Drosophila melanogaster: one gene and its partners. The protein of the gene in region 3 purifies or fractionates together with the protein of the main gene of each other region. This does not show direct contact. Each region holds a gene or a part of one and is shown on either strand. Other genes may lie near its edges.

Evidence for each region.
Region 1: the proteins of CG7430 (region 3) and Pgk purify together in Drosophila melanogaster (affinity purification with mass spectrometry, with the first as the bait; one large-scale study listed by BioGRID). This does not show direct contact.
Region 2: the proteins of CG7430 (region 3) and yip2 purify together in Drosophila melanogaster (affinity purification with mass spectrometry, with the first as the bait; one large-scale study listed by BioGRID). This does not show direct contact.

The regions. Positions count from the first base shown.
Region 1 is NT_033779.5:2,748,648-2,759,009, forward strand, and holds the start of Pgk (phosphoglycerate kinase), read right to left. Parts: upstream 4,422-10,362; 5' UTR 4,348-4,421; intron 4,194-4,347; exon of another isoform or gene 3,798-4,193; intron 2,343-3,797; exon of another isoform or gene 2,267-2,342; intron 1,501-2,266; exon of another isoform or gene 1,432-1,500; intron 667-1,431; exon of another isoform or gene 565-666; intron 146-564; 5' UTR 1-145. Other genes in the region: Bacc (bacchus), read left to right, coding at 4,768-5,013, 7,361-7,523, 7,598-7,647; HemK2 (HemK methyltransferase 2), read right to left, coding at 9,903-10,362. UniProt on the Drosophila melanogaster protein: Enzyme of the glycolytic pathway. Glycolysis is essential in glial cells but not in neurons; neurons rely on the citric acid cycle for their energy needs, and on lactate and alanine secreted into the hemolymph by glial cells to fuel it.
Region 2 is NT_033779.5:9,906,744-9,917,105, reverse strand, and holds the start of yip2 (yippee interacting protein 2), read right to left. Parts: upstream 1,854-10,362; 5' UTR 1,759-1,853; coding exon 1,740-1,758; intron 1,482-1,739; coding exon 1,315-1,481; intron 1,055-1,314; coding exon 126-1,054; intron 67-125; coding exon 1-66. Other genes in the region: Srp54 (splicing regulatory protein 54), read right to left, coding at 2,517-4,058; Etl1, read left to right, coding at 4,630-4,762, 4,821-4,981, 5,335-5,897, 5,957-6,289, 6,350-6,617, 6,674-6,820, 6,880-7,182, 7,241-7,867.
Region 3 is NT_037436.4:17,841,453-17,851,814, reverse strand, and holds CG7430 (uncharacterized protein), read right to left. Parts: upstream 4,900-10,362; 5' UTR 4,619-4,899; coding exon 4,577-4,618; intron 4,269-4,576; coding exon 3,741-4,268; intron 3,678-3,740; coding exon 2,799-3,677; intron 2,736-2,798; coding exon 2,670-2,735; 3' UTR 2,214-2,669; downstream 1-2,213. Other genes in the region: TrpRS-m (Tryptophanyl-tRNA synthetase, mitochondrial), read right to left, coding at 1-1,038, 1,227-1,654, 1,717-1,935; MED19 (mediator complex subunit 19), read left to right, coding at 5,624-6,061, 6,921-7,035, 7,101-7,561; CG5567 (uncharacterized protein), read left to right, coding at 8,399-8,540, 9,258-10,108.

The DNA of each region.
Region 1 (10,362 bases), on a different chromosome or scaffold from region 3:
ATTGTATTCTCGTTCGAAAGTTGGATAAAAGTTGTACTCTCCAAATGCAACTCTGTATTTGGCGCCCAAGCAGTGTTGGTAAGTGCTGTCAGCACAGTGCTGTGAAGCATCCGTTCCAAGGGTGTCGAAAAGGGGCCACACAATTCTAAAATTTAAAAATCTATTATTTAAAATATCATTATTTTCATAATATTTAAATATTGTCCATAGATAATCATATGCTAAAAATTAACAAAATAAATGTCTGCATATTCTGACTAGATCATTTAATTGATCATTTGCTATTTACAGTATACAATTTTTTTTATATTAACTTAAATAGAAACCGTTCATATAATATTTTCACTTAAATACATATAAAAATTATTTTTTTTAATAAATTTTTTATAATAAATTTTAACCCCTTAGAACTTTTTTCTTCCACACCCTTGAATGTCTGTTAAATTTTAACTGAAAGTCCGAATTAGTGATTTTTTATAAAAATTTATAATTAATTTATAAAAATAATAAAAAAAAAATTTAATAAATAATAATAATCTACGACGTACATACATATGTCCATACCGTATGTAACAGCCGCCCCTTTGATGTTTGTATGTCAATATGTAATTATTGAATAAATGATTTCTGTTGAGGCCAACAAAGTCAAATCACACAATCTTTCTCGGTGGCCGTTGTTTTATTTTGACTGTGCAAACGGATTCCGCTTATGATGCCATGATGATGGCTCCGCCTCTTCCCCCAATGATTCATTCATTGTTGCCCACTCTGTATCTCTACTCATCTCCGGCGGTCCAAGCAACCACCGGCGGCACTCGGCACTGGCACCACCAAACGCTAACCCACCGCATCACCACCCACCACCCAGCACACGGAACACCACCACCCACCACAAGTGCTCAGTGCAGCGAAATGCATGACGCAGATGGCAAAGTAAGGTATATGGGAACGAACGAGGTTGGGTTGGTTGCTGGCCATTCGGGGGTTTTCTAGCCAAAGTGGCGGGTTTTCAAAGAACTAATCTGCCCAAAGGACCAATTGTAATGTGAGCACATCACTAAAATAATCGATAGATTGCCATATCTGATGGGGTTTTGGGTGGCTGCCTGGGAGACTGGGGTGCGTATAAGCCTATTTGGGGCACTTCAGATGCAGCATTGCAGTGGTAGCGGCTGTCCTCCTTCATCCTTCAGCCAGCCGTCGGAAGAATGTCCACTCACACGTCACGGCTGTGGTGCTCTGCGCAATTAAGGCACCGCCGAGGACCCGGGTACCCACTGGTGATGACACCACGGCGCTGCTGCTGGGTCAGGTGGTATTGGAAATCGAAGACAATGGGGCTGCTTAAATTCATTTTAATAATTGCGTGTAAACCGCCCGTTGACGCAGGTGAAACGCAGGCGAGCAGGTGAGCCGGGCCAGTACATATACCTGGTCGAGTCGCGTCCATGTGGCCCGGCACTCGTGTGGAAACATTAGCACATGCCGGGAAAACGAGACCCGACTCCGAAAGTGTCCAATGCGACGGCGACGGCGATGACGTGCTAGCGCTAGAGATCAAGAATCCAGAGAGTCAAGCAGCCAAACAACAGCCAAGCGACCAAGCGAATCGCCCATCTAGCAACAGTCTAACAATCACTCTAATCGAGTCGTAAACCTGTTCATGTTGTTCCACCCAGCCATCTTGTTGGGTACCTAAGCGCTAGAAGGGACAGCCTATGGTGGCTATTCGTATGCGCTACAATTGGTTTTGTATCTGAACGGTGAGCTGCGCTACTCTTCATACATTGTTTACCATGCTATCGATGATATCATATCGAAATAAAGCTGTCAAAAGAACTGAAACTTCCGTTTTTGAAAAGCCTAACAACCCGATTAGAAGAAATCTATTAAGCACCGCATTAAGCTGAAAGAGCGAAAAACTTAATCGCCGTGAATACAAGCTGATGTGTGTGTTTTAGATACACATGCTAGCTGAAGCGTCTGGCTATCGATTGTGTTTGCATTGAGATTTGTTCGCACCTTTATGCTACAGCAAATTAATGACGCAACAACGTGTAAGTGCACTGGGAGAAATTCCTGAGGCAGGTCAGTAACGACAACGGTCGGGGAAAAATCCCTTGCGTTAGTTTCGTGTTCGAAAGGGCCATAAAATTTCCGAATCGACAGATGTTTGGGTTCCGGGAAGCAGGACCATCCATCCATTTCTGCCTGCTTGAGATCCTACCTACCCGGTGGTTGCCTGCATTTGAAACCGTTGTCTAACCTTGAAGTAACTACGGTCGTACCAACCAAGCCGATAACTCGAGAAATTGGCACAGGTTGTCCTCAGGAATCTAGATACCATTGTTCAACACCGAGAGGTGGTCTCACAAGCCCGATGAGCACGACTATTCGTATCGCGAGAGACCCACCAATCTTGGGCCGACGAGCGTCAAGCCACTCGAACGGATACTGAGAGTTCGGCGGACGGAAAGTGAGACAGTGACAGCCAGAGAAGAACGGTAGGCGGCCCATGGAAGCACAGCGAAATGGAGACGCAAATCGGCTTATCAGGCAGCGATGTTCAGGCAAAAAGTCATCGCTGCTCCTCAAATATGTGATAACTGAGTGGACGACGGGCCACGATTACAGGTGTTTACGTTCACCATGCCGCCTCGGTTGGGATGCCGCGGAACATGTTCGCCGGTTTTAATTAGCGATCCGCCTGTCGACAGTCGTCCGCTCGCTCTGTCGTCGACCGTATTATTCAGATTACCAGATATATAGCCTAGGTATTCGTATTTGCCATTGCTTTCGCACGAAAATAGCTGAAAGCGTGAGAGGCTGTCCAATCGAAACTCGACTGTTGGATACCCGGCAAACGATAGTTATTACCCTTTCGTCGATAGGCTACTGGAAATAGCACCAAGAACCTTATGTCTTCCGGTCGAATTCCTCTAGTATTACTTTATGGGTTGTTATTCCGCTCGTTAATGTGCACATTTTGAATGAACTTGAAGATCAACCTCGCAGTGATTGTCCCACTGATAACACAGATTTATAGAGAAGAGCCAGTACAACTCGAGCACGTTGACTACCAGGTGATATGGGCGATATGTTATAGCCTACTCGGCAGTTCCAGTTTCCCATATATTGGGCGATTCCTGAACCCACTGGGTTCGTGCGGCGAACGAAGCCATCACCATCAAATGGTCGAACCACAAGTGCGGGATCAACAGAAAGATTGGCACATGAAAAAAGAGTCAAGGGTGGACCCAATTCGACGAGTGATAGGCATTGGCATTTAAGTCGAAGTCTTTGGTGGGGCCATTAGGACTTAAGGATGTTTAATATTTCTGGAAATTGCCGATTTCGAAAACTAACCCTTAAATGTTTTCGAATCTTATGGGGTTGCAAATTGCTGTTTTCTTGCTATTTCTCCAGTTCTCTAATTCTAGTTTTAAGACGCATAATCCCGGAATAGAGCATTTCCCCGATTGCGTGCATCTAAATAGTTAGAATCTCAAAAATAGCTGCCCGCTTTCCTGGTCCGCGAAAATCACCTGCTTCCCCACACGTTACCAATCAATTGACCCCAATCCGCGACGACATTGCGTCCCACGCTGGTCCACTCTATAAATACGAATACCGTGCTGAATACAACACACAGCACACACATCTGCATCTGCGGCAACAATGCTGCAACACTTCTTCCCATCGGCAACATCCACATCCACTGTTCTGCTCTGTTCTGTTCTGTTCCACCGACGAACGGTCAGAACGCCACAGAGTGACTGCACCACACACACCACACACCACCATCGCCGCTACCAACCCCCAGACCCCGCCCCCAGGCCCACAAGCGCACCACTGGCGCGCGCAATTTTCAAATTTACCGCCAAACGCGCCCACAACCGTACTCACGGAACCCAAGCAGATTTTGTATGGAATTAATCAGGAAACCCACTCAACTTGTCATTTGCGGATCTAGTTTTGATCGCAGCGCCTCGGGAAAAAGCCCAAAATTAAGCGGATACTACCAGCTATAGCCTCGATCAGTCTCTGAACCGATCCGAACAAAGGTATTCAAGTTATAGGCAAAAATGTCTGCAACCGATTTGGCGCAAGAAGAAGCAAGCGGCAATTTCTAGCCATCGAACGGACGGCAAGCTCAGTCTTGTACGAACCGTCGACGGGAGCACATATCGGTGGTTAGCAAACCAAAGGAAAACGGATATTCCATACATCAGTGGGGCCTACGAGTAAATCCTTTTGCCTGCCGTAGCGCCGCCTGATATATGGCACCTCCTAAAGCCTTACTATATAGATACTATATTATCAGAAAATCACCGCAAAATAATATACCAAAAATCCAACGATCGCTCTGCTCTGGGCTGTTGTTGTTGTCTTATCGACTGCGGCTGTACAAATGCCGCGGCGATTTTTTGAGTGTATTGTATGGGCCAATGGCGTGGGAGAGAGAGAGCGAGTGAGCGTCGTAACGATTTCGGGGAGAGCGAAAAAGAGAGCAGCGAGAGCGTTTAAAGAAAGTTACTCTCTCCTCGAGAGGCAGTGCTTAAATAGACGGCCCGCAGCTGAATCGCATTCAGTGTGTTTGTGTGCTTCGTTCGGTGCGGTTCTCTCTGTCTCTCTCTCGCCTTCCCCGAGTATTTTGCGCTGGTTTTTTGTCAACAACAAGACAATCCACAAAACCAACCCGAATTGTTCTCTATATAACGCAGAAACTAAATAGTTCCGGAAAACCTCAAAGAAACCAATTCAAATATGTCGGCTGCTACGGAACAACAGAACAACGGCGATGTGGCCGTGGAGAAGGTGGCGGCAGATGATGTGTCTGCTGTCAAGGACGATCTCAAGGCGAAGGCGGCCGCCGAGGATAAGGCCGCTGCTGCCGATGCCGCCGGCGACGCGGCCGACAACGGTACGTCAAAGGACGGCGAGGATGCCGCCGATGCCGCCGCCGCTGCCCCCGCAAAGGAATCCGTGAAAGGCACCAAGAGGCCAGCAGAAGTGAGTACTGATCTATGTGACTAGGTAGTTGTTTACGCGGTAAAACCAAAAGGAGGCCCCTCTAATGATTCACTCCAAGCCAATATGCCAGTAGCATAGCATTGTTCGAGGAAAAATTCTAGAAATAGATATACACACGTTTTTCGGAACAGCGCACTCTCCCAATGGCTTACATATGCCCCCAAAAGAGAGAGCGTATAGCTGGCTCGGTTGTGCGTTTGTGTTGTTTACGATTAACCAAGATGATTGCGGGTCCGGCAATCAAAGATTATTGTTGTTAGGTTCAAATCGAGGTTAGGAGGGCCGCCGTGCTTATATAGGCGGGGAGTACAGTTAGCCAGGGCCTTTTCTTTGGTGGGGTGGGTAATGTGTTTTTAATAAACCCATAGGTCATTAGCATTGACGTGTCCGCTGAACAGCGTTACCCAGCAATAGATACATTGTGGCATTACGTCTATAACTCATACGCTTGGCCTTATTTATCAGTCGCTGTGGCTACGGGAATTGCAAATGCAAACGCAAACGCAATTCAGCGCGATGCCAATGCACTCTCTCAATGAAAACACACATTGCCGGCCGGTAAATTACTCATGTCATGTTTGGCCACTTTATTTTTGGTTAGTATCGCCAAGAGCACGCGGTATTCGAACAAGTTTTGGGGGCCTGAAGCAGTCGCATTCCATAATCGAGTAGCACATTTCTTGATAAAAATAAAATAGTTCGGCCAGTAAGGCAGATAAATTGGCAAATCAAGCGCTTTTCTCAGACTCAAACTCGAAATAAAAATGTACAGTTTAACGGGAGCGTTCTCTCGCTCTCTCTCTCTCTCCCCGGAGAAAGATAGATACAAATAGAGAGCGCTGCTAACTCTCTCCCTCGTAATTTGTATACACACCGTTTTGTCTGTTTGCGTATGTGCTTACATTTATCTTTCACTTTTTTTTCTGCTCTGCCTTATGCGTATTTATTTTAGTACATAAAACAAGACGGCTAAACAGGGTGTCGCAAAAGTTAGTTGGGTTTCTTCGGGATTCAATTGAATAATGATCATTATCCCATGATCATGAATTAGTTGAGATACGTTTGGCACGGATAATTCTTAGTGGTACAGTAACGAATTGTATAGATTTCAAGAATAGTTTTGAAAATTATTCGTTGGTTTCCATATCTTTCGATTCCAAACAACAGATTAGCTTTTGTCCCTATAAATGTATCTTCACGCTTAGAAAACACAAACTAAAACCTCTAACTAAATCAAGATACATTGATTACCCAGTTATAACACCAGTAATAGTAGGCTTAGTTCTTGCCAATACAGATACACCCTGTTCGTCTTAATCCTCTATTGGCCTTTTCTCGAGTTCTGGGTCTCGTGACTTATGCTGTAAGCGAAGTGAAAAAGGGGGGCGATGGGTGGCCATTAATTTTGCACATTTTTCCACAGTCCGATTGTTTTTCGCTTCTTCCGCTTTGTAACAGTCTGGTAAATAGGGCCCTTGTGTTGCGGCTTCTCTTCGACTTGGGAACGTGACCGCCTATATACTGCCATAAACCATATACCATTATGTGTATCTTGTTGTTGGTTGGTCAGCGGCAAAAGTTAAACCCACGCATGTTGTTGTTTTGCGCCTTTTTCGCTGCCGACGTCGCTGCAGCAGCTGTCGTTCGGATGGCTGTGAGTGAGAGCGAGAGATTCATTCATGCAGTTCAGGTACAGTTTACAGTGCTGCGGATTCAGATGCTCTCTCTCTGGCGCTCTCGCCCGCTCTCTATCTTACAGGGCACGCTTCGTTTCGTATCTCACGGATGCGGATACATATGTCGCTGCCGGCGTCGCTGCTTATTGTTTTTTTTTCCTTCCCCCTTATGTAGTAAATATGTCGCCTTGTACATACGGAGCACAGATGTAATGTAGCGCGGTTGCACTTGTAATCCACTCTCTCACGTACTCTCTCTCCCGCTGTCTCTTTTTGCCGCAGCGAATTACATTGGCGCGCGCATTTTTCAAATGTTTTTTTACGGCGAAAATAACGATTTTCGTCGCTGCTTGTTTTGTGTGCTGAAAATATACATTTTATGACTATGTACACACGCACAGGAAGTTGAGAGGGGTATTGGATGCCCTTGATCAAGGAGATGTGTGGGTTTGAGTTGGGCGCGTAGGACCATTTCGCTCCGTAATTCTCCCTAATATCCTTTAGTTTGTTTCTCAGATTAATATCAAAAATGCATAATTAATAGTGACGGGCCCCTTATTTCTGTTCAATAAACTTGCTTGTAATACAGTAAATCATCAGCGGAACAAAAACCAAAGGAACTCTACTAACTTCTCTTTTTTCGCTTCCAGGCCAAATCCGCAGAATCAAAGAAGGCCAAGAAGGCCGCGGCCGCCGATGGAGATTCCGATGAGGAAGAGGCTCTGGAGGAAATCATCGAGGGCGACAGTGAAATCGAGAGCGACGAGTACGACATCCCCTACGATGGTGAGGAGGATGACATTGAATGTGATGGTGAGTTCACGGAAGCACTTCCCTTTTCCACATCAATCTAATCCCCGGATTTTCCCTTTCCCTTACCCGCGCAGATGATGATGATGATAATGATGACGGTTCCGGCTCGGACGATCAGGCGTAATAATAATGTAGTCAAAAATACAAACAAAAACAAACAAAAATTTAAATTAATAATAAATAAAAGTTACAAGCAAAAACAAAACAAAAAAAATATAATAATAAACCAACAAGCAGAAAATAAACCACAACAAGGAGAAAATGAGGAGGAGGAGGAGAAAAAAACCACAAAAAAATCGCAAAAGTATATAATTTTTATGTTTAAGAAATAATTTTTTATTTCTTACCTTATTTTAATTGTATTTTATGTGTACTTTTTTTATAAAAAACTACAAAACAAACAAAAATTGTAATTGAAGGCATTTTCGTATAAACGCAACCTATACGGAATCCAACAAAAAGTAAACATCCCCACTATATACAAGAACAAAACAAAACCAAAATCTTTCTTTCCTTTATCTCATAAGTCCTAATTTAAACGCCCAGTTGATGCGTAAACCAAGATATACAAAGATTTCAAATGTAGCGTAAACGAAGCCCGCGAATTAAACACAGATACACTACACTCACACACACACACGATATTCAAATTCATTATTAAATTAGACGTTACATTTGTGAATGAATGATCGATCGAAAGAAGCAAAAATACAAAAGTGAACATTTGAAAATGAACATGATTATGAACATGAAAAAGAAACAGCAAATGCAATTAAATACAAAACAAATAAAACATAAAAATTGTATTTAAATAAATCGCAAAAATCATTGAAACCCCATACTCGACAAGCATTCAATGACACTCAAGTTTTAGCTATGGTTTCAAAAATTTCGCGCCCATTGTGGCCACAGTCACCCGAATTTCCCAAACCCAAGGCACTGGGACTTAGTTGGTCTTCGCTTTTGGGGCAAATACAAAAAAAAAAAACAAAAAAAAATGAAAGGAAAACATCGGGAAGTTTGAGTTCTAACCTTCTGTTTCGTTTCAGCATTTAACTATAAACTATGACTAATCTTAAGTACTTATGTCAGTATTAAAGCGAGGGCTTTATTATTCTGTTGATAAGTTGTGCGAGCGAGTCGTTGATAAGCCTAATTCATTTGTAAATTGTAAAAACCAACTCGAGAATCGAAAAACGAGCAAGAAAATAAACTTTTAATGTTACATGTATCTAATTAGTAAGGGCATCCAAACTATTTATACACACACCCCGTACGACGAGTTCTCAATATAAACATATAACGACTGATATTTCAAAACGAATCGTGCCCAGCTGGTCAATCACGGCACTCGACACCGAAACCACCCAACCACCACCATCCTCGAATCTAAACGATTTGTCCCGGAAAGACAGACCAGCCCAACATACACACACAATCCACCCACTGACCCAGATCCAAACTCCAAGAGGCTTAAAGCTGGTAATGCCAACCAGCAACTGAATAATTGAGTGCAATTAAACCAATATGCCCAAGATAAATCATCCGATTTGATAACTGATAAACAATAGCGATATCACAGACAATGTTAAAGAACTATGCATTTTTGTAAATACCAATTACTCATGTATCTGCTCCGTGCGAGAATAACATCTAGTAGCGCGAAAGGGCAAAAAGAGAAAAGAACCACGAATCGAAAACGAGAATAAGAAACAATTTTGAACGATGAAATAAATTATTGTAATTACGTAAAAGCGAAAACCGTACGTACATACCACCCATTTGGCATCTGTTCCGATGCCAATAAAAGTTTGTTTCAATTGCAGTTGGCCATTTTGGGTGGGGCAATCACCTCGCTTCGGTGTTCCCAGGGGTAGTAGTTCTTAGCCAGGAGCATGTACGTATGTAGGTACATAATTCATAGATTGGCCGCCCCTACATTACTCCGATCCATCCCTTCCATATCCCAGTTTTCGTTCGGGGGTTGACGAGCTGGTTCCCACAATCCTCCCTATGAAAGAAATCATATACTAAGGGATGATGGAAAAATTCAATCGGAAATTTCCTTTGATTAAGTACCTTTTTCGGATTGAAAATCGATTAGCCTTAGCAGATGCCTATTAAAAAAACGAATGATGAAATTCCGGGCTCTTCGTTGGGCAAATGAAGTTGAGCTACTTTTATATTCAAATTCAAATATAAGCGCAAAAATTTCTAAAAGTTTAAGAGCTTTTAAGTTTCATAAGCCATTTCTTTCATTTATTTCAACTTTTATTAAAATTATTCTCCATATTATTTAGTATCAAATTTAAGAATAAACGCCTAAAAAAGTTTATCTTTTAATTAAAATACAACTTTAATTTGATGCTATTGCACGAGTCATGATGATGCCAAGTACCTGGTGACCTTCAGTATGCACAAATGCTCGCCAGGAATGCGTCGCTCCATGAACTTAACAGCCCGGAACTGGAGGCCCTCTAAGTATTTGATAATCTCCTCCGGCTTGTTCTCCCGCAGCAGGAGTAGGTAGAGCACGCCTCGAGGCGAAAGAATGTCATCCAATTGCTTGAGTAGAATGTCCGTGACGCGTCGCCCGTCCTGTCCACCAGCCCAGGAGAAAACCAGATTGCGATCCGTTGAGGATTCGCTGTGCGAATCGAACTGTTGCGTCTGCAGCTCCTCGTCACTGGTGACTACATAGGGCGGATTGAAGAGCAGCACGTCCACGGATCGCGGACGCAGTGCATCCGCTAGGCTGCAGCGAATGCTATCCAAGCGAGCGCCATTCCGAGTCGCAGTTCTTCGAGTGGCATTGCAGGCTTTGGGATTGATATCCGTA
Region 2 (10,362 bases), on a different chromosome or scaffold from region 3:
AGAAGGGCGATGCCCTGACCACCACCAATGCACGCGGATCCAATGCCGTACTTTAGCTTCTTGCGCCTGGAAAAAATATATAATTATCAATTTATGACAGGTTGTAAATTTCCACGGAAACTTACTGCAACTCATGAACCAGATGACCAGTGATGCGAGAGCCACTGGCACCCAGAGGATGGCCCAAGGCGATGGCGCCTCCGTTCACATTCAGTTTGGAGGTATCCAACTTCAGGGCATCGGCGCAAGCCAATGTCTGGGCAGCAAAGGCTTCGTTGATCTCAATCAGATCAATATCCTCCAGTTTCTTGCCGGAAACCTTCAGGACGTTCTGAATGGCGGGTACTGGGCCAATGCCCATGATCTCAGGCTTGACTCCGACAAAGGAGAAGGCCACTAGACGGGCCAGAGGCTTCAGGTTGTACTCCTTAAGCGCCTCCTCGGAGGCCACGATCACTGCGGAGGCACCATCACAGATTCCGGATGCTGTTCCGGCAGTCACAACGCCGTTCTTCTTAAACAGCGAAGGCAGCTTGTTCAGACCCTCGATGGTGGTCTTGGGACGTGGGTGCTCGTCCACCACAAAGTCCACTTCCTTTCCCTTGACCTTAAGTTTGATGGGTGTGATCTCGGCATTGAATGCTCCCTCCTTCTGACCCTTCTCCCAGTTCTTTTGCGAGAGCAGAGAGAACTCATCCACACGCTCCCTACTGATCTTGTACTGATCGGCCAGGTTCTCAGCGGTCAGAGCCATGGGCAGCTTGCAGTAGGTATCGGTGAGGCCAGCCCATAGAGCATCCTCCAGATTGTAGCTGGCACCCAAGGTGGTTCCGAATCTCACATTACGGGCAATGAAAGGGCTCTGTGACATGTTCTCCACGCCGCCGGTAAGGGCTATCTTGGCACCGCCGACCAGGATGTCCTGGGCTCCGTTTACGATCGACTGGAAGCCGGAACCGCAAAGCCGGTTGATTCCAAGGGCGGGCTTCTCGATGGGCACACCGCAGTTGAGACCCACATGACGGGGCACATAAATACCATCGGTGGAGGAGGACTGCGAAGTGGAAGAGAAGAGATTTTTAAGACTTACAAGTTACAAAAAAACATAATATAAGCATGTAGTTCCAGTTTTTGATCTACTGAGTTTGCAATTAAGCAATAATAACAAATAAATATCGAGTAAATTAATTTACATAACCAGATGTACAAGTATTTTATCACATTTACATATTTCTTTTAGTTTAATAACATCTTAATATTGTTTTAATCCGACGCCTTAAGAGTTTCTATTTTAGGATCTTCAATCCAACTTACCGCGATCACATTTCCCACGATGACGGTGTCCACTTGCTCACCCTTAAGACCGGCAGCATCCAGGGCAGCCTTGGCCGCCGTGGTTTGCAATTGGGTCTGGTTGATGCCCTTCAAGGATCCACCGAAGGTTCCGAAGGCCGTACGCTTGGCAGCCACAATATAGATACCTTTACAAAGGAGAAGAAACATACGAACATATGTATAACATATATAATGTGCGTAGTGATAGCACAAATTTAGCTCGAACGAAGGCGGATTTTTGTTTTCGATTCAACAGGTCCAAAGTGCAACCGGCTGGACGCGGGGGGGGGGGATAGCATCAGATAAGACACCAACGAGTCCAAAGTTCAGATCTCTCTAGCGAGATCATCTCTTATCTAGACTTCCAACAGCATAGGCATATCCTAAAGGATTCACATAATTACCTTTGGTTGCGGCAGACATTTTCTAAGGTGGGTTCACTCTTAAATAAAACAACAAATAAATTAATGCAAGTAAAGGCGACTATCGCACTGCAATAACTTTCGACTTCTGGTCGCGATTCGCCGCCATCGCCGACATATTATTGGATGAAAGCTCGAAAAGCTTTACCCCGCTCTCTGACAAACAAAGTGAGACAAGCCCACCGATTACAGCTGTAGAATACACTGTGCAAAATTAGCTGCAGTTTGTTCCTTCCTTTGTTCTTAGTGACGATTAGTCACCATCGCTGAATTTCGATTTTTGATGAAACTCAATCAATCCTCTAGTTTTTAAATACAAGTCTCTTTAATGCGTTCTTAATGTATATTTATCAAAGCAATTTTGCATACTTAAGTACTCCTTACAAAATGTTGATCATACAATGTTTTAAAGTTGGTCTTCATTAGAAAGTTTTTTATTAATTTAACTTGCATTTGTATTGGGTTTTCCTAATAAGAAGACAATAAGATTGTTATAGTTTCCAAATAAACAATCCGTACTTGGCAAAAAATTAAAAAAAATTGTACTGCTATGATACCGATATCATTCATATTTGTATGTACTATTTTTTTCATTACGAAAGAAAATGCTTCAGTTTTAATTAGACTTTATACTTGAAAACTATGACAGAGTTGAGTGAAATACAAATCTCATTGAGGACAATGGGTGTCGGGTTGTACTGGAGACGGGGTTGCTTAAGTTCTGTATTTATTATAAAGTAGTATGCAATCTCTCTAGGTCTAGGGCGAGTTGGAGATGTCCATGTTGTCCGACTTCTCGACACTAACCGATTTGCGTGACTTCGAATCGGCGCTGGATCGTGAGCTCTTAACCTCAGTGTCCTCAGAGATGGATTTGAGTTTGCGAGTTTCGGGAGTACGGGAGCGGTCGCGCCGCCGGGATGACTTGGCGGAAACGATGACCGGATCCTTGCTGCGACTGGACCGTGACTTACTGCCGGTAGCTGGCGGCGGCGAGGGAGAGCTGCGCTTGCTTCTAGATCGGGGAGAACGTGAAGAGTGCTTCTCGCTGCGGTGTGACTTCTTGCTGCGCTCGCGGGATCGGGAACGTTTGCCGTTGCCACTGCCTCCTCCACCGGTGCCATGGGAACGCGAGCTACGTGAGCGTGAGGTGCTGCGGCGATGGCGGGACCTGGAGCGCTTGCCACGCGACCTTGAGGAGCGAGAGTGCTTGCCGCCACGGGAGCGTGATCTCCTGGAACGTGAGGAGCTGCGACGGTGTCGTGATCTTGAGCGCTTGCTGCGAGAACGGGACGAGTGCTTGCCACGCGACCTAGAGCGGCGTGATCGGGACACACTACGTCGCTCTCTGGAACCGGAACGCCTGGAACGGCGTCTCGATGTGGAACGATGCGAGCGGGATCGACTGGTGCGACGGTCCCGGGAACGGGACCGTGATCTCGACCTGCGGCGCTTGTCCTTAGCGAGCATTCCAATTACCGGATCAATGGCCGCTGAGATCATACTCTGCGCCTCTTTCACAATGGTCATGGCCTCCTCAATCTCAGCCTGCGCTGCCTCATTCGACTTTGCCTCCGGCTTGGTTATGGAATACGTGGAGTGGTAGACGCTTAGATGGCCACCCTTGAACTCCTGGCCCTGCATGCGCAGGGCGTGAATAATGCTGGTCTGTTCGCAGAACTCAATCATGCAGTACGTCTTGTTATCCTTCTCGGCCCAACGGGCATACTTCACCTCCCCAGCGCGCTGAAAGCATTCCATCAGATCGTCTAGCCGCCACTCGTTCTTAACATCGCACACGATAATGGTGCGCCGAATCTCCTCGATTTTGCGCGCATCGTAGAACGAGGGTAAGGCCGGGTACTCCGGCAGATTGAATTCCACCAACTTGGGGTCGTACGTCTTGATCACTTGCTGCGGCAGCTGTCCCTCGATGCGGTTAATGACTTCGGGCGGTAGCTTGGAGTCCGGCTTCTGGAGTCCCGGCACAATGGTTCCGTTCTTGAGCATCTCCAGGGCCCGATACTCCTCGGGTATGGCCAGAACGGGTATGACAATTAGGGCGCGATCGATGAACACCGTGTTGGTCAAGTGCTGGGCCACCGGCACACTGGTCGTGTCCGTGTATTTCACATAGCAGATGCGCGACTGCACCGGACAGGAGACATCACGGATTGTCGGGTACAGGCGGATCTCCTCTATCTTGCCAATGTTCCCGAACAGCGTCTGCATCTGGTCCTTGGTGGCCTGCGGCGCTATGTTGGTCACCTGGATCACACGCGGGGTGTTGCCGCCAGCCATGTTTGCCAGTTTATCGGTTTGCCCTTGGCTCGGCAAGCGGTTTATTTGCAATAAAAGTGTTTTCAATTAACCTACAAGAGCAAGCGAAAAAAAGAGAGGGTTGCAACGCGTCCCAATGTTTCGATTGTTGGCCGATTGCTTGCGGTAAGCCGATAACATCTGGCAACTCTGGCAACTTTCTTAATTTACCGCCAGTTTGGGATTTTTTTAAGTTTCTTTCTTTCATTTTGGCATCGGTTTTAATTACTTACGGTTAGGTTGACGAAATCAAATCATATACGATATATACAAAAGCAAATTGTTAGATAATCTCATAGAAGCTTACACTAATGCGTTACAGTTCGATAAAAATAAATGAAAAATAATAATAATCATTAAGCTAATACTTAAATTGGCGCACAGTGTGACCGCATTCCGTTGGAGAAATAGAAATAGGTTTTATCGGGATAATCAAACGGCCGCACTAGCATGCGAATATTCACAAATACCAACTTAAGATTGTAGGAGTTGCAAACAGAATTTGTTAATAAGGACTGACAGATTGCCAGGAAGCGTTTCGCCTTGTCCCACGATGTCGGACAGCACAGTGGCCGCATCTGCGTCGGCCTCCGCCTCATCGTCCGCGAAGTCGAGCCTCAGCGATCTGCGTCAGTTCCGCATCAACAAGAATGCTTCCTCTGTCGTCGCTAGTCCTTCGAGAACTGGTACTTGCTGAGCTAAAATTCCAAGCGATTGACACGGTAGCTAACTGCCTGATTTCAGAGCGTGTGCCTGGAAAGAAGCGCATCCAGGTGATGGCCGATAGTGACAGCGATGGCAACGACTCCCAGACGCCCAAGAAGACCAAACTGGAGCTGACCGTTAAGGAAAAGGAGGAGCGCTACATGGCAGCCGCCAAGATTTCGCCCCACTTTGACACAATGGTAGGTTTCCGGCCGAAATGCCACCAAGGTAAAACGGGGCGATTCGCGGGGAAACGCGCGTCTCTGCATCTGAGTTCGGGGAACATGGCGATTCGGTTCGGCCCGGCGTTGCGAACAGCTGTCGTTAGCCAGGGGCGTCACTGACGGGGATGGGAGCAGTAATAACCCTCTCGTGTAACTGTTTCCACTACTTTGGTGTGCCTCATATAAAATATTTCCGGACATTATCACCGTTCTTATTTGAATTTTAAAATTAATCAGAATATTTTATAGCTTAAAATTGCTCATTTTTAATGCAATATTTTGCATAAATCTCGATTTTAACTGAAATAAATTTCAAATATGTTCCGTAGGCCATCCAGGAGTCTCTTTCCCGCACCAATTGGGATGTGGCCGCTTCCGTGCGATACCTAAGGGAGAACTGCAAGCCCAAGGGGCACAATGGACCACTGGCCAAGTCCAAGCTGAAACCCAGGTCAAACGGAATTAGTGGAGGCAACTTCTCGGATAACGACCATTCGGACGACGATGATGTGAAGCAGTCCAAGGACCAGGTGTATGATAGCGATGACAGCGATAGCGAGATGTCCACCAAGATGACGGGGCAACGTAAAAAAGTTTTCCAGTTTATGAACGAGGCTTCGCTAATTGAACTCCAGTCAGTTAAAACGCTGTCCGAGAAGAAGGCATTAGCCATCATTGATGTGCGACCATTTAGTGATTGGTCTGATTTGCGCCAAAAGCTGGAGAGCATCAGGATGTCGGGTGATCTTTTGAATTACGCTCAAGAGCTGATTAACAAACAGAACACGGTGGCCGCTATTCTAAGTAAGTGCAATAACATGGTGTCGCGTCTGGAGAAGGCGATTTCCAATGGTGCTGGCATTGTGGAGCAACCTAAGCTTCTTAGCAGCGGGTGAGCCTTAACCAGCATGCATGTCCCCATTTGTGTTTCTATTTTCGTTCCTCTTGCAGTCTACAGCTGGCTGATTATCAGATAATTGGCCTTAATTGGCTCACCGTAATGCACAAACAAGAAATGAATGGCATTTTGGCAGATGAAATGGGTCTGGGCAAGACAATTCAGGTTATTGCATTTCTGGCCTATCTAAAGGAGAATGGTCTTAGCCAGGCTGCACATTTAATTGTGGTGCCCTCGTCCACGCTGGATAATTGGGAGGCAGAGATTAGCCGCTGGTGTCCCGAACTGGTGGTGGAGAAGTACCATGGCTCGCAGGACGAGCGAAGGAGAATGCGAGGCCGCTTTGCCAAGGATGGATTTACCGGCTTTGATGTTCTTCTGACCACGTAAATATCCACAAAGCCATAAAAGAATCTAAGCTTAAATTTCTTGTACATTTTGAACAGATATCACATTGTGGGATCCACGCCGGAGGAGAGGAAAATGTTCCGGGTTTGCAAGTTGGACTACGTCATTTTTGATGAAGCCCATATGCTGAAGAACATGACCACGCAACGCTATGCTAACCTTATAACCATAAACGCTAGGATGCGAATCCTGCTCACTGGAACTCCGCTGCAGAACAATCTGCTGGAGCTAATCTCTCTGCTCTGCTTCGTGATGCCCAAATTCTTTGCCAAGAGCATTGAGGACATAAAATCGTTGTTTGCTAAGGTAAAACAAAGATTGGTTTCACACAAAACAATATATAAACTTCATGTTCCTTGCAGAAGGGAAAAAGCGATGGAGATCAGGATGAGGTTTCACAGTTCCAGGAAACACAAATCCAGAGAGCAAAGCGTATCATGAAGCCATTTGTACTCAGACGGCTTAAGAAAGATGTCCTTAAGAACCTGCCCAAGAAGCTAAGCCTGGTGGTAAGTACGTCGGGCGAAAATAAATATTATACAATAATTAAATTGTTTTTTATTTAAAGGAAAAAGTGCCCATGAGCAGTCAACAGAAAATATACTATCACGAGCTGGTCGATTATTATTCCAATAACAAGGGCGAGGTGTGCAGCAGCAGCGAAAGGGCCGGCATAGCGATCATGATGGAGATGCGCCGCATTGCAAACCATCCGTTGCTGATGCGTCACTACTTCACCGACGCCAATCTACGTGGATTCTCTAAGCGCCTGGCTAATGCCAGTTCCTTTAAAAAGACCAACGAGCAATACATCTTTGAAGAGCTAGCCGTTATGTCAGACTTTCAGGTCTATCAGATGATGAACAAGCATGTAAGTGACTATCAAAGAGGTTGTCCAATGACAATGACTAAATTTGTGCATCTTTCAGGAGTTTTACGACGTGAAAATACCCGATAATTTGATATGCGATTCTGGAAAATTCCTCTACCTGGATACGTTGCTTCCAAAACTGAAGGCAGAAGGACACCGTGTGTTGCTTTTCAGCCAGTTCACCATGATGCTGGACATTGTGGAGGAGTATCTGCGAATACGAAAGTTTGGTTTCTGTCGCCTGGACGGGGCGACCGCCGTAAATGTCCGCCAGGATTTGATCACCGACTTCAATGGGGACGATAGCATCTTTGTGTTCCTACTCTCCACCAAAGCCGGTGGCGTTGGCATCAACCTGACGGCTGCCGACACCTGTGTCATTCACGATATCGACTTCAACCCGTACAACGATAAACAGGCCGAGGATCGGTGTCATCGCATGGGACAGCAGCGTCCGGTGACCATTTACCGTCTCATTTCCGAGAGTACCATCGAGGAGGGCATCCTGATGGCCGCCGAAGAGAAGCTAAAACTAGAAAAGGACATTACTTCCAACGAGAAGGGCGAGGTGCACGAGCAGCGATGTGTGGTCAAGCTGTTGACCACAGCCCTTGGCTTGGACAAGGATCAGGAGGAGCAGCTAAACAATTCACTAAACAACTCCATAGCCTCGCCCGCCAAATAGGCATTCTCGTTGTCCTCGTTCTCGTCCTTGTCCCCACCTCCGTATTTATTCTGCGCGAGCATTTGATCAACTTGGTCTAATCGTCCTACCGCTGTCAAATCCTGTTAACATCGTTTGAATTATTCTAACAATATTGTATTTGTATATTTTTTAAACTTGTATGCAAGGAGAGATTTGGTGTATGGTATGCCAAAAGTGGATCATAAATCGAGTTAGTAATTTTTCACCGTTGAGGCGACATTAGTTTTTCTTCATTAGTAACAGCAACATTTCCACGATAAACCAAGGCAGACAAGTTAATATTCTTGTTTTATTGATTTGTCATCATGATTAGTTTTCATTTCTGTAATTTCTGTTTATGTATCGAATTGAAACTATTGTTATAAGGATAAAGATCATTTTGTGTACGAATGCGATCATGTTCATTTATTTCTACATATTTGCTCTATAGTTCGAGCCGCTCGACAACCCTAAACGGATCGCTCTCGCATTTTCCCACGAGATTCTTTTGGTTGTGTGGTGCAAAGAGAAGCGGAGAATCGCTTTCCAGAGAGCACAACTGTAATGAAGAGCTTTCGGCTGGCGCGGCGATTCATCAAGTCTTTAGTCTTCAACTGATCGCTCGCGCCGATGATTTAATTTTTAAGTTAAAGCCTGCGCCCAGTGTAGCAGCCGGCAGCGTTACTCACATCCATATACATACATACGTGCGAATATACATACATGCTCACATAATACGGCGTACATCGATAAATAGATATACCCCGCAGATATAGTGTCTCGATCGACAGCAACGAACCCATGGAAACCTAAAGTAAAACCAAAATTCCAAGGTTCCATTGTCCCGTAGTTAAATGTGTTTAAATCCAATTACATCCCCGATCCTTTATATTTTGCTCTTACGAATCGGGATTATGTGATTCATGCATAAGTACATACGTTTCCTCCCCGAATACTTTCTTGAATTCTATTTAAAAATAGACAAACTGTTTGCGAGCGGAAATCATATTGTGCCGCGGCGGCGACTAAAACGCTAAATAAATCGGGCCAATAATTTGAAATAGTCTGTTCTTTTTTTTATTTTGTCTTTCTGCCAGCCCGCTGATATTATTGTTTTTGACCAACGGAAACGGAAGCAACGCCAACTGCATATAGGTTTATAGATGTATCTACATAGTGCTGCGATACAGTCATCATTCGCAGCGCTGTCATATACTATAAATATAGATGCGGCGGCACATGTGAGCAGTTTTTGGCAATTGCCAAAGAATACGGCGCACAAGTCGGGTGAAAACAAACAGCGCGTGCAGGCTAAACATGAAGAGTAGTATAGGAAAATATAAATAACAATTAATAATCCCCTCATTTTGGCCGCGCCTGTATGCGTGTAGTGACCGCTTGTATGTGTACGTGTGAGAGTAATCCGAACAATAACTATATTATATACATAAATAGCGAGCGATCTGCATTAAATGAGAGAAAAATCACAATAAAAAGAAAAACGAACGAACACAACAACGCGAACAAAAATTAAGAAACCAAAACGGAATCGGTAATAATTGACGACGAGCAGACAACGAGCCGAGAACAAGCAGCACAAAGCGACAAACCAAAAATAGACGATACCAACGGTGCGTATACTTAACGAGCCACCCGCTCATATCACTCATCTCGCCCTCTCGCTCGCACAGCAGCCACCAGTCATCCGAGCAAAAGCAACAACAATAGGCACTAAAATCAATTGTGATCACAGTGCGTTTGTGTGAGTGCGTATGCGTATGCGTATCTGTGCCTTTTTTTGCATTTGCCGCTGTATCTGCCTGCATCTGTATCTGTGTCTAGAGGCCCGCAATCCATAACCATCTAGTGTATTACCCCATATGCGGACTATTTGGGCGTGGAGGGACGCTTCGAAATATTAATTATTTCTGACACTGTTTACGGCTTGACTTGGCGCATGCCAAGCATGATTAAACGAGACACGAAAGAGCGTATCTACGAAGTAGATAAATATCTTTATACGAACAACTAAGCTGCGGCACCAAGCAACAATCGAATCGACGAATAGCAACAACGCACAAACAAACCCATCTATATATACACTATAGACAGAGATAAACAAAAGCTCAAGCAGCAACAGCAGCAGCAACAACGAAACAATTTGAAGGAAATATTTTTGCACTAAAAGGTGAGTATATCCGTCCATCCGACGCTGATTCATAATACCAGCCTAGCTTATTCCGAGCACTCTGTTTGGCAATCTGAGAATGGGAAGTGTAGAGCAATTAGCGAGGCAAGTTCACATTGCTATGATAGTAGTCACTCTCACAGGGCAGTTAACCTATGTAAGATTCTCTAAGTTCGTTAATTACCACATTTTGACAAGTTCATTGTTTTATTGATATAAGTGGATGGTACATATAAGTAAGAAGAGTCAAAGATTTATTCAAGCCACATTTTGTGATAATAGATGGTAGAGAGGCCTGACTGTACAA
Region 3 (10,362 bases):
TGCTTGTAAGAGCCACCCTGCGATTGCTGGCCGAAGCCCAGGTTGCCAGTAACGGGTTTAACTGTAGCGCGCTTGTTCTTGGCTAGAGCACCGGTGACCATGCTGGCCGAAAATCCTGGCGGCGGTTTGAACCCTATATGCGGAGCATTGCAGGTGTCCATCTGGAATACGTGCCGAGTTCGAGTGCTACCTAGTTGTTTCTCTACGCGCATAGACTGAGTGGGAACGATGGGCGCCCGACGGATCACCCGCGGTACAACGGCCTGAGGCATATCCGCCACCTCGCCGGTGGCTGACTGACCAGCTCCTCCGCTTGGCTGATCTCCGAATCCGTACATCCGTTCGTGACGCTCGTGGACATTCCCGTCGAAGTCCTTGGACATTCGCCTGCTTGCTGAGGTTTTGGAAATATCGGGTGCGGGCAGAAGTGGAGCCACATGCACCGCAGCCGGAATGTTGGCACTGGTTCCTAGTCCTAGGCGCTGTTTAACATCGTTCAACGTTTGGCGTGCCTGCTGACGTGCCTTTTCTGCACCCACTTCCAGCAAGTAGATCATCTCGTTGCGCTTAGTCATGTGATGGTGTATCTGTTCTCGGATCGGACGCAAGTGCTCGACCACAGCCTCCGCCACACGGTCCTTATACTTTGCCGTGTCCAAAGTGGCGGCCTCGTTCACCACTGTCTTAATGCTCTGTCCCGTGACCTGGGCATGGATGTTGACCAGATTGCTGACGCCAGCACGCTTGCCAGGATTATAAGTAATGTCCGATGTAAAGTCTGTGACGGCTTTCTTTATCTTCTGCGTAATCAAGTCGGGCGAGTCACACAAGTTGATGGTGGCCTTGGGATTCGCTTCCGATTTAGACATCTTTTTGGAGGGATCTCGCAGGGACAGCACACGGGAGGCATCACCATCCTCAATGATGGCGGTGCAAACAGGGAAAGTCTCGCCATAGCGACCGTTATAAATTCTGGCCAAGTGCTGGGCCAGCTGAATGTGCTGAATCTGGTCAGCGCCCACAGGAACATGAGTGGACCTGATCGAAAAACGAATATGAATATTATAAGTACTATAATAAGTAAGCAAATGGCAAACCATTTCAGATATTAAAGGGTGGTTTAAAAATATGTAAAGCTGAACCAAAGCATTTAAGTCTGATAAGCAACTAGGACTCTTGCATTCCCGGCTTACATTCTGAACAAAAAACGGAATATATTTACTTACTTGTAAAGCATAATGTCGGCTGCTTGGAGAACCGGGTAAACGTACAATCCCAGAGGGACATCCTTTAGAAGACGGGACTTCTCTCGGAACTGCGGCAGTTGAGCCAATCGCGGCATGGTGGTCAAGGAGCTAAGGATCCAATTGAACTCGGCGTGCTCGGCAACGGCGGACTGGACAAAGAGGGTGCTCTTGGTGGGATCGATGCCACATGCCAACAACGTGGCGGCCATGGTGAAGATGTTCTCTCGCAGAAGCGGCGGATTGTGGGGCATGGTAATAGAGTGCAAATCCACAATACACACGGTGACATCGTCACGAGCATTCTGCAGCTGCACCCATTTGCGCACGGCGCCGAGATAATTACCCAGATGCAGGGAACCCGTCGGCTGGATGCCACTAAAGACTTTCCTCGGCCAGCGGGTGTTATGCTGGGTTGGGGTAATATATTAGAGTCTTGTGTTATGTAAACTATTTCTACGAATGCACTTACTTCTTCGTGGCCACTGTTAACGGAATTACCATGGGGGTGTACGTGCTGCTTGTTTCCACCGGTTACCTGGGCCGTCGCAGAGGGCGTTCCAGCCGTCCTACTAGCCAATCCCGGCAAGAAACTCCTCGCCTGAATGCAACGGCGCTGGGAATACACAGCTGTCTGTCCCTTTTTGGCCACCTTAGACAGACTGCGATGGAGCTTGCCAAATCGGAACATTGCAATGAGCTATGAATTTTGTACCCCAAAACTTTTGAGTAAAAAATATTGGGAATAATGCGGTGCTAAATGTGTGAACAAAGCCCAAAAATAAATTATTTGTTCGAAACGGCCGAAATTTTGACACTGAGCGTTCGCGAGCGTTGCCAGATGGCTTTTGAAAAGCCGGTACGACAGCTGTGAACAGTGATACTCAGCTTGGCGAGTTTTCCGCTAAATCGTGGATTAATATTAATATTCAAATTTAATAAAGAATGTTATTTATTATCATTTTTTTTATAACTCTCTATTTAAGGGTATTACCTATTTACATCTTACTTGTGAACGTATGGCTTGAAATTTAATGTAATTGTTTGATGGTAAATAAATTGTAGAGACCAATTGAACAATTTTTTTTTTTTAACAGGACTCCTATTATTTTTATGCTTATAGCTTTATTAGTGGTACACCAGAAAATCTAACGACATTGAAAAAGAATTAATCTGCAGAACTGCAGTTTCGAGTTTTCAAACAGTGTTGTATTTATTCTAGCTTAATACACATATTACATTGCAATTAACGCCTGGCGCCATTACCATTATTTATATTTTCCACTTTTCTGTTCCTACATTGAGAGTTACAAATATGCGGAGACTGTCGTTTCGGCCGTCAGGATAATTTTTCGAATAGGGGTTATTCAAAGATTTCAAACGCGGTGCAAAATTCTTCACTATCTGGCAGAGATTGGGAAGTGCTTAGAAGTTGATGGGTTTGCCAAAGGCAGCTGCCACATTGGCCTCACGCAGGGCCTCGGAACATGTCTGAAAGAAGGAATTGTGCGCATTAGGTTCGAAAGGTTCAAATCAGATTAGGTAATCACTTACTGGATGCGCATGGCAAACGCGGGCAACGTCCTCGGCAGCGGCTCCGTACTCCATGGCCAGCACAGCCTCGTTAATGAGCTCGCCGGCACCAGGTCCGATAATATGGGTTCCCAGGATCTTATCGGTGGCCTGGTCGGCCAGAACCTTGACGAAACCGTCGGTGTCGTTGTTGGTCTTGGCACGAGAGTTGGCCAGGAAGGGGAACTTGCCCACCTTGTAGGCAACACCCTCCTGCTTCAGTTGCTCCTCGCTCTTGCCAACCCACGCGACCTCGGGATGCGTGTAGACTACACTGGGCACGCAGTTGTAGTCGATGTGCACGTGGCCGCCGTTGATGCCCTCAATGGTGATGAGGCCCTCATCTTCAGCCTTGTGCGCCAACATGGGTCCGTGGATGCAGTCGCCGATGGCGTAAATATTGGGCACCACAGTTTGGAAAGTGGCGTTGACGGGGATCCTGCCGCGGTCATCCTTAACAATGCCCACGGCCTCCAGACCCAAACCTTCGGTGTAGGGACGACGTCCAACACTGACCAGCAGGGCGTCGCACTGGATCTCCTCTTTCTCGCCAGACTTGGCGTTCTCCACGGACACGGTGACGTTGTCGCCGCTGCGAGAGGCAGCCGTCACCTTGGTGCCCAGCTTGAACTTAAGACCCTGCTTGGTGAGCACCTTTTGGAACGTCTTGGAGACTTCGTTATCGATGCCCACGCCGCCGATCGTATCCATGAACTCAATGGCAGTGACCTCAGCGCCCAGACGCGACCATACCGAACCCAGCTCCAGGCCAATGACACCGGCGCCGATGACAACCAGATGCTTGGGCACCTTGGCCAGCTTCAGGGCGCCAGTGCTGCTCACAATAACTTCCTCGTCGATCTGTGAAGGTTTTTGAATGGCATGCATTAGTAATCAAGCGCGCTGTAGAGGTTTTGCACTTACTTCAATGCCAGGGAAGGGGGTAACCTCCGAGCCGGTGGCGATGAGGATGTTCTTGGTCTTGACAGTCTCCGTGGAGCCGTCGGATTTCTTAACCTCCACCTCGTTGGGATTGACGATGGTGCCGAAGCCCGTCAGCTGTGTGACCTTGTTCTTCTTGAAAAGCATGGCAATGCCACCGGTCAAAGCCTTCACGGCGTTGGACTTTTGACCCATAAGCTTCTCCAGATCCAGGCTAACGCTGCCGCAGCTAATACCACGTTTCTCCAGATCACCGGAGTGGGCCATGTGGTAGTAGTGGGAGTTGTTCAGCAGCGCCTTTGAGGGAATGCAGCCAACATTCAGGCAGGTGCCGCCCAGAGTTGCCTCCTTCTCCACGCTGACCGTCTTCATGCCCATCTGGGCGGCCTTGATGGCGGCGACATAGCCACCGGGTCCGGAGCCAATCACCACGATGTCCGCCTCGTGGGTGCTGGAGTAGCAGCGGGCGTTGAGGGCACCCAGAATGGCGGCATTGGTGCGCAGAGGAGTCTGTAAAGACGGCAGATTACTACATGTTGTGGCACCTTATCATTTATCACGCCAGTCGCACGCATTTCGCACTAATCTTCGGCCGACTATCAGCTGATAATTGGCCTAATTAGCGACCTTGAAAACGGGGCCAAACAAATCCCCAAACGCCAGTGAATCACCCACCGGGATCATATGAGCACTGCAGGTGATCCAAGTGCATTTTCCAGCCTTTTCCTGCCCATTTCTCGACCCCCTCGGTGAGGTTAGATTGCATAACTTGAGGGGCGATGGCGTTTGGGGAATCGGTTATGTCGCCCGATCCTTACCTTGGCTACTGCCGAAACAACATGACGGAGCGTGAATTGCATGGCTGGTGCGGGCGAGTTATGAGGATAATCGTTATTTAACTACAAACACAACACTAGTTTGATGTGTGTTTTTCCGACTGTTTTTCGTGTTGTGGGGCTCGGAGCGGTCGCAGGGCTGGCGATGTGCATTCGATAGTGGTCATATGATGGCCGCGATGCTATCGATTGTTTTGGTGATTTTCCACTCTGTTGGAATTTGAAATTCTAAAACATTTTCGTATGAAAAAGATGTGTATAAAAATATTAGCTTGATGATCGTTCAAAATACGATATGTCCGTCACTCAATTGCTAGTTTATACAATATTCACTTTATGGGTCATTTGTTGTAGCAAAAGCTACCTAAAAACAAGCCAACTATACGTGTAAGCCGGCTTTTATAGTTTTGGCACCCATTAATTAATGTTTTTGTACGTATAAAATAAACTGTAATAAATAAACTGTAAAATAACTGTTTTAAAAATATATAACTCAACGTACATACGATACATATATAATAAGAGTTCCAAAGTAATATTAACTTTATTATATCTATAGGTAATTAAAAATGTATTATACGATGAATATTCGATAGTTTGCCCTACAGTACAACCCTGTGTGGTATTCCCCATCTGGGATATTTCCCACAACACTTTTGGTATTTTCACGTCGCGTTCATCTCGCGTTTTCGTTGAAGCCTCAGTATTTCGCTAGCTGTCGCAATGCGGTCACACTGGTTCGCGGACACAACAAGATGGCGAGACTTGCCCCCGAAATCTGTTAGAAAACGCCACAAGAGCAAATAATTAGTTCAGTTTTCGACCAGAAAAGAGTCAGCCGAAGTGCCGGGCAGACGCGGCGCATTTTGCAGAGTGTGAGCTTGGCCAGCGTTGCCCGAGAGCCGCGACAGGCGACACCTTCTGCTGGCCTTGCCTTGTTGCTGTGCCCCTGTGTGCGTGAGCGTGTGCGGTGCGGTGCGATTGTGTGCGTGGGTTGCCAAGAGTGAAGAGAATCGCTGAGTTTCCAAGATGATGAGCAACTACGGCAACATGATGGACTCACCGAAGTCATCGCCCCACGGCGGCGGCCGATCACCCGTGGTGGCCCGTCAAGACTCATCCGGCACCCTGAAAACGACCATTTCGCTGGGCAAGACGCCAACGATCATTCACACGGGGCCATTTTACTCCATGAAGGAACCACCCGCCAAGGCAGAACTTACCGGCGACAAGGATCTCATGACCGAGTACGGACTGCACCACACACTCACCAAGTTCAAGGAGAAGAAGTTCAAGGAGTCGCTGGCCTCGTTTCTGCAGAACATCCCCGGCATTAACGACCTCATCACGCATCCCGTGGAGAATAGCACGCTGCGGAGCGTGATCGAAAAGCCGCCCATTGGTGGAAAGGAGCTTCTTCCGCTGACTCCCGTGCAGCTGGCCGGATTCCGCTTGCATCCCGGACCGGTTGGTTTTTCCAATATGCTTTTAATTCGCTTGCTCAGTTTGAAAAATGACGAATCTTTAGATACGGCACATTGAACATCTTAGAATACATTTAGACGCTATTCAATGCTTTGCGTCTCTATACATTTGCATGCATTAATTTCGCTTTTTAAAATTTGCATATGAAATTTGGATTTAAGTGTCCTTGCACAGACTGATCTACTATAAAGTGTTATTTGGTCGCACCTTTTCTGTCACTTATTTCTATAATCACCGTAGTATTTTAGAGTTGTAATTCATTTTCCTTATGTTCAACAACAAATTTGAAACACAAATATTTTAGTCATTAATCACAAAAATTACTTAAATTAACAAGAGTGTAAATGTTGGTTTTCCCTTTAAACCTCTTTTGAACAGTGTATATTAAGTCAGTAGTTCGCAACGCAGTGATCTATATGAACAGCTGAGTCGATAAGGCCATGTCCGCCTGCCCGTTTTCTTTCAGTTTTAAATTTTTGTTGCAAGTAGTGCATAAATCAGAACGCGCCAGTTTAGGCCACTAATTCATATTGCTGCCATATGGTTTAATATTATGATATTCAAAAAAAAAAAAAAAACTAACCTTCCTTGTTGACGGATTGTCCTTCCTTTCTTGTTATTGAAATATTGGCATTTAATATTATTGAGAGTTTTCTTTCACCCTATATGCAATCTAATAATAATAATAATTCATCTTAAAAGGTTTCGTGAAATATTTTTTACATGTCATATATTTCAAACAATGGATAAATCGTTACTAGAACAAATTGCATAAAATATATTATTTTTTTCCTCTGCACTTTCACATTGCTAATTTATCCGATTCTGGTGCTCCTTTCAGCTGCCGGAACAGTATCGTACCACATATGTCACACCTGCGCGTAAACACAAAAACAAACACAAAAAGCAAAAACACAAAGACGGGGTGACCACGGGACAGGAATCCACGCTGCTCGGTAAGCAATCTGCTGAATTATCGAGCAACTCGATCACACATAATCCAATGATAACCATCTTGCAGACTCGGCCGGCCTGGAGACTTACGAGAAAAAGCACAAGAAGCAGAAACGCCATGAGGACGACAAGGAGCGCAAGAAGCGCAAAAAGGAGAAAAAGCGTAAAAAGAAAAACCAGAGCCCCGAACCGGGCGTGGGCTTGCTGCCCGGAGGAGCGAGCTTGGGCGGAGCAGCGGGTGTAATGGGAGCCACTAGTCTGGGATCGCTGGGAGGAGGACCTGGAGGACCCGGGCTGTCCAGCCTTAGTGCCAGTATGGGACCTGGCGTTGTGGGGAACATGAATAGCTTCTCCTCATCGATGCAGATGCAGCAGCAACAGCAGATGCCCATGCAGCAACAGCAGATGTCAAGTGGCGGTCTGCTGGGATCTGTGCTGGGCACTAGTGGCGGTCCAGGTGGCGGCGGCGGAGGAGGAGGTGGTGGCGGGGGCGGCGTCGGTGGGAGTCTGCTTATGTCGCAGTTTTAGGCAGGATCCTTTAGCAAAATAGACTTGGCTCATTACCTCTCATCAGCAGACGCACCCCAAATGGCAACATAAAAAAAACGCAGAGGGCCTCGGTCCTCTACATGCAATTTTCTCGATATCGTTTCGTGTCCTAGTTATTAATTTATGATTATTGTAAATGTAAAATAGTTTATTTCTGTAATTAGCCAACAATTTTTCGTTCGTTTTCGCGCTAGCTTAATGAGATTTATTTAAACGCAAGTTATGGTACAAAACGCAAGAACGTTTTCGCTCTCGATTCCAGCTCTTCCCTCCACACAAACACACCCCTCGCCACGCCGCCACAAAAACGCTGCTTTGCAACCTCTTTAATTTGCTTACCAACCTTGTAACGTGTGTAGGGTCAGTATTTCAATTAAATTTCTGCAATGGTTTGTTCTTCCAGCAAGTTTATAAACACAAAAGAAAGCTGAGATTCAACAAAATAAAAATGCCTGTACTATAAGTAATTAATTTTAGTGATTAGGCACATAAAACAATAAACAAGCATAAAAATGATCAAAGTGTGTGTTTACAATAGTTTGGGGAGCTTAGTTCATTTTTCGAATATAAGCATTTGTTGCACAGAAGTTCTGCTTCCAAGGAGCCCTTAAATTCAAATTTGGCGCCAAACACTTGTTAGCACTCTGTTGACTTTAACATGGCGCATTAACAGCTACGCTGAAATCTGACAGATAGTAACATAGCCTTAACAGGCGCCAACAGCTGCTTTAATTCTCAGGGAGTTTCTCGCAATCGAGAGTCAATTAATAAATTAAAAGTGATGTGTATAAGATAGTCGTCGCTGCAAAGCCATAGATGAGTTGTAACTTCGCCAGATTTTCGCGACAGGCAGCTATCAACATGTACAAGCAGTCGTGCACCAATCTCCTGGAATTATCCTCCGCCAAGGTGACCGAGTGGCTAGCAGGCTTCGACAGTGTAATAACCGACTGCGATGGTAAGTCGGTGGTGGGGATGAGATACTACTAACTCGCACCCACCCAGGATTCCCCCCAGGAAGTTGCGTTACATAAAGATATGTGTATACCACATTCTGCCCAAATACGTCAGCAGCCAATAGTTTCTGTATTGTGGCTGCGTCGTTTATTTCAATGTCAAAGAGTGAAGTGCGTGATATGGCGGGAAGTCGACTTTCGGATGCCCTCATATCTTGTTAATCATCGTTATATTTAGTAAAGAGTAAAGCAGTAAAGAGCCGTTTGATAAATTCCCTAATGCTCATAGTGATGAGCCCTAAGTTTATTAATATTAGACAATCTTATCAATTCAAGGAAATCGTTATTATATACGCAATATCAAAAGTTGTGTTCAACCCCATTATTTATTAATTTTATGCAATAATGCCTTCTTTAATCATAACAGCTTTTATTTCTTTTCGTTTATGTATCTTTGCGAAGTTACCAATTTACTTAATTGGAATTAATTTCAAACTGTCCTCTTTGCCTTTGAATGATTAATTTATCAATTTTAGAAATAAATTACCAACAATATGAGTATACTTTTTGTAGATATTGAGAAATCAATAACGCCCTTTATAAAACTAGCAATGGCATTAATAAAACTAACAACTACAAAGTGAGAACCTATTTAGCACCGTTCTTTTTTTAATTTTAAGAAAATTCTTCTACAATATTAATCCATTTTTTCACATCAGGTGTCCTTTGGATCTATGGCCAGGCCCTGGAGGGCTCTGTGGATGTGATGAACCAGTTGAAGGGTATGGGAAAGTCGATCTACTTTTGCACTAACAACTCGACGAAGACCCGGTCGGAACTTCTCAAGAAAGGCGTCGAACTGGGCTTTCATATCAAGGAGAATGGCATTATATCAACGGCCCATGCCACAGCTGCGTACCTGAAACGACGGAACTTCAGCAAGCGGGTATTTGTGATCGGAAGCGAGGGAATCACCAAGGAACTGGACGCCGTGGGCATTCAGCACACTGAGGTGGGCCCGGAACCCATGAAGGGATCGCTGGCCGAGTTCATGGCACAGCATTTAAAACTGGACACGGACATCGGAGCCGTGGTCGTTGGCTTCGACGAACACTTCAGTTTTCCCAAGATGATGAAGGCCGCTTCCTACCTAAACGACCCGGAGTGTCTGTTCGTGGCTACCAATACGGATGAGCGTTTCCCCATGCCCAATATGATAGTACCAGGCAGCGGGAGCTTCGTGCGGGCCATTCAAACCTGTGCGGAGCGGGATCCTGTAGTGATCGGGAAGCCGAATCCTGCCATTTGTGAGTCTCTGGTCACGGAGAAGAAGATCGATCCATCGAGAACTCTGATGATCGGAGATCGAGCCAATACGGACATACTTCTTGGGTTCAATTGCGGCTTCCAGACCCTGCTTGTAGGTTCCGGAATCCATCAGCTGAAGGACGTGGAGCGTTGGAAGTTGAGCCAGGATCCCGAGGAGAAGAAGCTCATACCAGACGTGTACCTGCCCAAGTTGGGAGATCTGTTGCCGTCGATCGTGAACAGCCTGACGGACTTGAAATGAATCAGTAATCAGTAAATAGTACGGACATGTGTTTGTATAGATTTTACATTTAACTTCAATAGACAGGAAAGATTATTAATACTTAACGCAAATTTATAGTGCAATTTATACCACAGAACAAAGAATATTTAAATAAATTCAAAAGCATTTTGTGAGACGGATGATTTAACCGATATGCCCGACTCAATTTGTTTTTCCGAGCGAGCTTTGTGCGAAAGGGAGATAGCAGATTTTCCCCAATCACCGTGAATCGA